2 linked regions of the Daphnia pulex genome follow. The protein of the gene in region 1 interacts with the protein of each later gene in a pairwise test. Links are inferred from orthologs where the notes say so. Each region holds a gene or a part of one and is shown on either strand. Other genes may lie near its edges.

Region 1 (4,262 bases):
CTTATAAAGAAGAGGTTGGTCTTATTTTTTTTACCCTTTTCAGCATAAAGCAGCTTTATGAACTAAATGAAGTATTTTAATCGATGGTTAATTATTGCTTGTACTATTGGGGGTAGTAAACTGCGTACAATACCTGTAAATGACTAAGGTTGGAAACGTGAGTTCCACAACACATGTTGCTGTCTACACCTAAAATAGTTACGACGCGAACAGGACCAACGTGGTCATCGGGAAGACCTCTAGAACGGACCTACGAACCCAATATGGTTTTCTTTAATTTAACTTTAATGTCAATTAAAGTAAAATTCTTACTTGGTCGGGTATCGCATCTCCTTCGTATACTTTTACTTCCACAGAGACAGCTTCCCTGATTTTCTCATTCACTTGGCTTTCAATGGTTTTTAGTTGGGCATCAGTCAGATTTACAGTATCTTGTAATTTAATATTAAGTGTCAATCAATGATGCTACAGAAAATTCTGAACACAAAGTTAAGAAGGAAAAATTTACCTAATTCAATATGGGAAACAGATTCCCCAAGCCACCAAGATGTTGTTTTGAAACCAAATGAAGCATCAGCAATTGCAGTGATTAGATGCTGCCCAGAGTGTTGCTGCATATGATCCCACCTTCTCTCCCAATCAATGACACCTGTAGCTAGAGTCCCAACATCCAGGCTGTCTTGTAAAAAATGGATGGCATCCTTCCCTCTTCTTTTGACTTGAAAGACAGGGATTCCGTTCAAGAAGCCTCTGTCATCAGGCTTTTGACATTTGAATTTTTAAAACCAATTCTATATGAGGATGTGTAATTTAACGTAAAAATTACCTGGCCTCCACCTTCAGGAAAAAAAACGGTATCTTCCAATAAGACTTCAAATGCTTGTACTTTCTCCTTTTTCCCCTGGACGAGCCTCTCGATCTGACACGGCGAACAAGAGACGACTTTGCTCGTAAACTACGAAACACCATACTGATCATTAATAGGATAAGAAAATACAAATACCAAAAAGGAAAATTTATTGAACCTCTTTCTTGTACGGTGATTTTTGACATTCAAAGACCATCGTAGACTTTTGGCAAATTTTGCACTGTTGTTATTTTTTTTTTCTTTCTAGCAGACAAAAATACAATCCATCTGTTGGCAATATTTACAACTTTGAAGAAAACACTAAGAGAAGAAATTGGCAACAGTGTTTTAAGCCAAGAAAAAATGGTGACTTATTGCAAAGACTTGTAGTCTTGTACTTGTGTTTTGTGTGTTTGCTATAATTGCAGCTATAATTTTATCTCGTTCAACGGGAAATACCACCAGAGTTTCTAATCTTTATACTGCCTGCTTGTATTTCGGTTTATTGACATTTTAAAGAGATAATTTTACTTTCGCGCTAATACTCAACTGAGCCCTGTAGGTGTATTTTTTTGCTGTTTTCACTTCACAGTGACATTTTTCTAAAGTCCTAAAGCCTGGTTGTTATAAAGATTATAAATTAATTTCAACACCGAAACATCATTCATGTTCCATGTAGCAGTGTGGATGCAGGTTAGTGGTTTGCATAGCAAAATCTTTATCAGTGATGACGTCAAAAATCAGTACTCATCTTATCTCTTAAATTTTTTACAGGTTCCTGTTCTGATTATGGGCTTTGATAGTATTGAAAACACCAGATCAGTTTAGTATCTGGTGTAGTTCTGAACTACAGCAACGTCCAAGGTCTGACCTCCATGAAATGGCTGAAACTGTTGCAGCTGTTGTAACCAGTTCCAATAGCGCAAGCTCTAGGAACAACAATGACTCCCACTTTCATCAACTAAATCTCTCAGGTTCAATGCAATTGATATTTAATCTTTACATTGGAAAAGTTCTAATCTGATTTATGCAATATAGTTCTAAAGGCCACTGTTGACCCAGTTTGCATAACAAAAAAGCCTTCACCATATGTTGAAATCTTGGTTGATGGGAAAGTGGTTTGGAAAACTGAGGCTGTGAAGAACACACATGATCCCACTTGGTCTTGTGAATCCTTTACTGTGTATGTACAGTTGCTATGATTCAGCACATTTGCAAGTGTCTTATCTTATTTATTTTTCTAGTCTTGTGAAAATCAATTCAAAATGTCTACTGAGGCTCTACAGTCATTCAACTTTCAAGCGAGATTTGGTTCTAGGAGAAGGCAGAATAGATATCCAAAAACAACTAGTACGAGAACAAGGGAAATTTGATAAAACCAGTCTTGTTCTGGATGTTAAGGTAAGCCTCATACTTGATTACTAGAAAAACACAAAACAAACAAAATTATTCAATATTTCTGGCATCAATAGGGAGAAATAAAGAATACTAGCATTGCATCAACGACAGAAGCAGCTAACGGTCGCAGCTCTAAAGTGAAGATTGGAGAAATTTTTATTGTGATGGACGGAATGAGGGTAGATCCAAAATTGTTGACAGGCAGTAGTCGAAGCGCAACGAGGTAATAATGTGCAGCGTTCAAATGGAAGCGAGCGATTCATCATTATAAATCTGTGTGCTCCCATTTTTTTAATCATCAGAGTGAACGGAGAAACAGGTGAATCCAGCTCAACCGCTGAGATCCGGACGAACGGTGCAGCAGTAGCTCCTGTCACGAATTTGACCACGGGCGAAAATGGTGGCGGAGCTCGTCCTCGTACCCGATCGAATGATGTTGAAGCCGCCCCCATTCCAGCAGTAGTAACTGGTGTTCCATCCAGGACACCCAACGGAACACCGCAGCAGACGCCGTCCAGGACTCCCAACGGGACAGTGGCAGCACCGGCTCCGAGGACTGAAACTACCCCAGCCACGACAGCACCTCCGGCTGCTCCACCTGGCCCCGAAGAACCTCTTCCGCCAGGGTGAGTTGATGCTGTTGTTGTATCACATCCATTTGAAATGTAACTGACGTTATTTTGTCTTCATTAGATGGGAAGTCCGTTTCGATAAATACAACCGGCGCTACTACGTCGATCATAACACGCGGAGTACGACGTGGGAGCGCCCGCAGCCTCTTCCGGCCGGATGGGAGATGAGAAGAGACCCTCGTGGTCGAGCCTACTACGTGGATCACAACACTCGATCGTAAGTTTATTTAATGGTTTCAACTTTTTCAATTAAATTAATTCGTATTTGTAAATTAACCAGGACGACATGGCAAAGACCGAATGTTGAACGTCTGCAACATTACGAACAGTGGCAAGGCCAGCGAGCGCATGTTGTTCAACAGTGCAGCCAGAGATTCCTATTTCCACAGGTAGTTGATTCATTGATCATTGAGCTAATCGTGACGTCACTTGCATTGATGTTGTTGTTGTTTTTTTCCTAACTAGGGTGGAGGAGTCAGCACCGGAACGGCGGTGGTGACGGGTACGGAAGAGAGCGATCCGCTTGGACCTTTGCCAGAAGGCTGGGAGAAACGTGTCGAGCCTAATGGCAGGGTCTACTTTGTCAACCACAAGAATCGCACCACACAGTGGGAGGATCCGAGAACCCAGGGGTGTGTCTCTCACTTGTCAATTCATCGAAATCCCTCAATCAATCTATATCTCATTTCTTTCTTTCTCTGATTCATTTCAGGATGAACCAAGAAGATCCTTTGCCTCCCGGCTGGGAAATGCGAATCACGGACGATGGTGTTCATTATTTTGTGGATCACAATACCCGGACGACCACCTTCCAAGATCCTAGACCAGGCGCAACTAAAGGGTATGATTATGTTGTCCATCATTACTGCCACAACGTGTTCTATCCAGCTCGCCCGCTACTTGAAAGTGCTTTTATTGCTTTGTGTGTGTTAATTGCTTGTGTTTTTTTTTTCCTCATTGCGCTGGACGCAGTCCGAAAGGTGCCTATGGCGTTCCCATCGCTTACGAGCGCTCATTCCGCTGGAAGCTATCTCAATTCCGCTATCTGTGTCAGAGTAATGCCTTACCATCACACATCAAGATCACTCTCAACCGGTCGACGCTCTTTGAAGATTCGCACCATCAGATTATGCGCTTGCCCGCCTACGAGCTCCGCAGGCGGCTGTACGTCATTTTCCGCGGCGAGGAGGGCCTTGATTACGGAGGAGTGGCTAGGTAAAATTATTATTAATTAAATACCCCCTTTGCGTCCCTTGAAGTGTGCGCTAATTGGACACTGAAGAGGAAACTGATTTTTCTATTCATTTTTTTTTTGTTTTGACAGGGAATGGTTTCTCTTGCTGTCACACGAAGTGCTAAATCCCATGTACTGCCTCTTTGAATAC
Region 2 (4,000 bases), about 3.4 Mb from region 1:
CTGGTCAAGTCGCTTCTGGCGATGAGCGTCGCAAAGAAAAAGATCGAGTTAAAGACAAGAACAAGGATCGCCGGGAACGTCGCGATCGTTACAAGGATAAGTAAGCAATCAAATTATCGAATTCAACTTCAGAATTTAATGAATAATTTTTCACAGGGAACGAGAGCGTAGGGACTATGTTCGGGAGGATGGTGAACAAGTGCGAGTGAAGGAAGAACCGCCTGATGGTATTGGAATTAGCTGTTAATGAAAAATATCTATTACTAATTTGTGGAATTGAAATTTGCAGATTATGACTATACGGCCCAACAATATGATGGCTATAATCAATATGATCCTGACAACATTAAATACGAAGTGGAAGAGTCGCAATTCCAGACTGAAGAATACTAGCGTATGTTTTTATAGCAGTAACTTGTCTGTTCTTAAGGCTTTTTAACTTTACAATTTTAAAGTGAGGTGAGTATGAAACTGGAGGTAAAAACGTCAAATACACGTTATTCAAAAGCCCCAGTGTATTAATTCATTATTAATGAATATAATAATCCAAACTAGTATTTTAATTTTCTGCAACATTTTCTGCAATATTTCCAGCAACATTTCCGTCGGGTACCCACAATCCGGAGTCAACACATCTTTTCATATGAAACCGTGCTTCTTCTTCAGGTAGTGTTGAAATTGCTTGTTGAAGAAGCTCAATGTTTTGTTTTTCAAAACAATCCTTAAGAACCTACACAACAAAACACATGATTCATATATGTGGAAGGAAATTTATGTGTCTTGCTCAATTATACCTCCGGTAAACTTTCAAATACTTCAACGGGATCCAACCCTCCAGGACCAAGTCGTTTTTTCTTTTCTTCCTCCTCAGCTTCGGCAATTGCAGCTTCTATTTTCTCTTTCGCCCGCCGTTGTATACGGTCTTTGAAAGCTACAAGTTCGTCTTCAAATCCTTTACGATACTCAACATCTGCGATTTGAATTCTAAAAGAGATAAAATAGTAAACAATTCATTTAGTTATAGCTACATAAAGGACAACTTAATATAAAGATAAACCTTGAAAAGAATGAAGACACACATGATCTTGGATCTCTGTTAAGGTGCCTGGATAATTCAAGAATGAATTGCATGCAAATGCACTGATGGGCAACATGTTCCATTAAACTTGTTTTCTCTTCCATTTCTAAATTAATACACCAAATCACGAGATAGTTTGCTGTTTCTTCACAAACCAGCTCTGGATTTTCTTGAAGGAAACGCTTACTATCATCATACTTTTGTAGCATTCCATATGCCTTAAGATTTTTCTCATGTTTCTTGAAAAATTCACGTGTTTTGATTTCTTTCTCCTCTTCAGTGAGCTCTTTCACTTTTTTGGGTTGGTCAACATTGACCACAGTTTTTGAAAATCCAGGTTGACTAATTGTATCTACATTCCTAAAAAAAATATGCAAAAAAACCACAATTAAACTTTGAAATTAGACATCACATTAGGATATATTGAAGTGAATCTTTTAAATACCATGGCATCAACTTTTCCTTTTTTTTCATTTGTTCTTCATGATCTTCGAGTTCAATTTTTTTCGATTCTAATTCACTCAATTGCTTTTTCAAATCTGTCACATCAATACCTTCTTTCATCACCTGTTCATACTTACTTTTAACTTCTTTTAGTTTGGCAGTGTTCCTTTGTTAGAAAAGTTTGATTTAATGTAAACTTTAACAAAAACATTAAAGCTAGTTATTTAGCATTACTCATTTTTTGCTTTGAGAAACAGAGCTTTTTCTTGTTCCATTTCCTTCATTTTTTCTAATCTAGCTTCGTGTCGCCATTTGAACAGAGAAGGCGTGTCAACGTTAGGATGTGTATCATCCTCATCGTCAGATATCTGTAAAGTATTATGAAGTACGTGAGTGTTTAAATGAAACATATAAATAACGAATACTTAATTACGATACTTAATTACGATTAAATACTATACTGACAATAAATAGAAGGTTAGAGAACCCGCAAAAATATGGTAAAATAACAACACAACATTTTTGAAGCAACAATTTACCTCGATATTTTTCCATTTGCTGTAGTCTACCATTTTATTCGCGATAAAGTTAAGAACTTAATGGAAAAGTGGAAAGTGACAGATTATCTAAACGCTAACACTACGAATCTACGATTGTAGACTCGACAGAGTGGTGGCAGAAAACTGAACCTTTGCCTAAGTGATAACTCCAAAGAGGTACACCCCTCTGGCGATGGGTGGAGCTTGTTCCTGAATGGACTAAAGCAACTTCGTCTCTACTAAGGCCATTTTAGCTAAAAAAAGGGGGGTTTTAGTTTTAGCCTTTAGGAAAAATGAACATTATTGACACATTACACACTATTTACATAATAAAACCCGGACAAAATCGTAGCGTGGGATCTTAAAGAAATGAACCATTAAACATTTATATACGGGAAATAGGGGTCTTAATTCAAAAAATTTATTCATTATAAACTGATACTTATTTTATTAATAAAAAATGTCGTGACGATTGCAATCGTTCGATCGTGCGATCACGACCACGGTAAATTTTTAGCGATCGCGATCCAAACTGAAAAACGCGACCGGGATCGGAATTGCAGGCCAGAAATCGCTCGATCAGATTTGCGATCGTCGCTATCTTTAATTAATAAAAAAACCCTTTTTTTAAATAGCACCACCAATAAATTATTGTTTTTATTTTTATATAAAAAATTATTGTTATACATTAAAGTTTATAAAGTTTCAGTGATTAAATGTATTTTTGCAAATTGCTTTGTGCTTTGTCTTGATTCTTGAAAACGTTGGTAATCATTTCCCCTTGCCATCTAGCGGCGATCGCAAAAAAGATCACGACCTTGACATGATGTTTGTTTCTGTTAATCGGGCCGGGCTCGCGGTAAAAAAAAAATATCGGCCACAACACTGTTGATAAAAATGTGTTACAAATTTTTTACATTTTCGTTAACATTTATTATTTTAAAATTAATTTAACAGCGCGACAAAATGTTCGAGGCTTCGAGCCGTGTTTAACACGGAGTTTATGGCGGTTACCATAAACTTAAAATAAATCATTAAAAGACAATTAAAGTAATTCGAATAATACTAAAAGTAATTTTTTGTGTAAACTAATAGCGCTTATTTGTGAATGACGGTTTTTGTGAGAAGTTGATTTTTTGCGTGCTAAACTTCTTTCTATATCTGTTGCTGTGACTTCACATGTTGCGTAGTCAGCATCGCGCAGTACTCTGTTTTCACCTGGGAGTAACTCCCTTTTGAGTCCTCCTTCAAATGCATTCTTTTTTTCCTTCGAATGTCGTTTCTTTTGAGAGTCATATCTTCATTTGTACTATGGAAAAAAGCATTCCGTTGTAGGCTTTAACAAATCATGTTTCTAAACGTGGGCGAAATTCTCTTACTCGTTCGTTAGCTTTTTGTTCAATTTCAGACAGTTCGTTCTTAAAAAATTGATTCTCAGATGGGTCCTTAAATGGTTCTATGATTAAATCTTTCCATTCATTGTATCCAGTAACGGGTTCTGGGTTTTCAGGTTGGCTAAATGTTCCTGGAATGACAGAGCTAATTTTTTGAATTGTTCAGAAAAATAACGTTTTATCTGTTCTTTAAAATCGACTCTCTCGAAATAGGGAATCTTTTCTCTGAGAGGTCTAGATGTTTTTTAGTCCTTCATCGGGTGAGTAGGGTTGGGACCGAAGCGTCTGTTGCGTTTTGGTACAAAATCACTAAGGTGTCAACCCTGACGCACGGCAACGTCCATGACGCGTCGTATGCAAAATCCCCAAGTCTTATCTCTCTCTCTCTATTATCTCGTCACCCTTTCACCCACCTACTCAACTTTGAAGTTGGGTGGGTGGGTGGTTTTTGACGAGGGCTGGGTCGTCGGGCTTCGTCTCCAATCCAATGGAAAAAACAAGACTTGGGGATTTGGTATACGACGCGTCAAGGACGTTGTCGTGCG

What was found.
Region 2: the proteins of E3 ubiquitin-protein ligase Su(dx)-like (region 1) and hsp90 co-chaperone Cdc37-like interact in binary tests that used the Drosophila melanogaster proteins (3 or more experiments, as listed by UniProt). The link is inferred for Daphnia pulex from reciprocal best matches to the Drosophila melanogaster genes Su(dx) and Cdc37.

What each region holds. Positions count from the first base shown.
Region 1 is NC_060026.1:2,734,169-2,738,430, forward strand, and holds the start of E3 ubiquitin-protein ligase Su(dx)-like, read left to right. Parts: upstream 1-1,188; 5' UTR 1,189-1,540; intron 1,541-1,621; 5' UTR 1,622-1,727; coding exon 1,728-1,821; intron 1,822-1,885; coding exon 1,886-2,030; intron 2,031-2,091; coding exon 2,092-2,248; intron 2,249-2,319; coding exon 2,320-2,468; intron 2,469-2,547; coding exon 2,548-2,871; intron 2,872-2,938; coding exon 2,939-3,094; intron 3,095-3,157; coding exon 3,158-3,266; intron 3,267-3,342; coding exon 3,343-3,509; intron 3,510-3,589; coding exon 3,590-3,718; intron 3,719-3,849; coding exon 3,850-4,092; intron 4,093-4,201; coding exon 4,202-4,262. Other genes in the region: alanyl-tRNA editing protein Aarsd1-B-like, read right to left, coding at 1-62, 134-250, 313-431, 509-761, 827-955, 1,026-1,064.
Region 2 is NC_060026.1:6,136,503-6,140,502, reverse strand, and holds hsp90 co-chaperone Cdc37-like, read right to left. Parts: upstream 2,221-4,000; 5' UTR 2,095-2,220; coding exon 2,062-2,094; intron 1,891-2,061; coding exon 1,757-1,890; intron 1,689-1,756; coding exon 1,524-1,688; intron 1,439-1,523; coding exon 1,058-1,438; intron 985-1,057; coding exon 795-984; intron 731-794; coding exon 560-730; 3' UTR 501-559; downstream 1-500. Other genes in the region: U1 small nuclear ribonucleoprotein 70 kDa-like, read left to right, coding at 1-100, 157-227, 290-393. UniProt on the Drosophila melanogaster protein: Co-chaperone that binds to numerous kinases and promotes their interaction with the Hsp90 complex, resulting in stabilization and promotion of their activity. Required for cytokinesis and chromosome segregation in mitosis and male meiosis.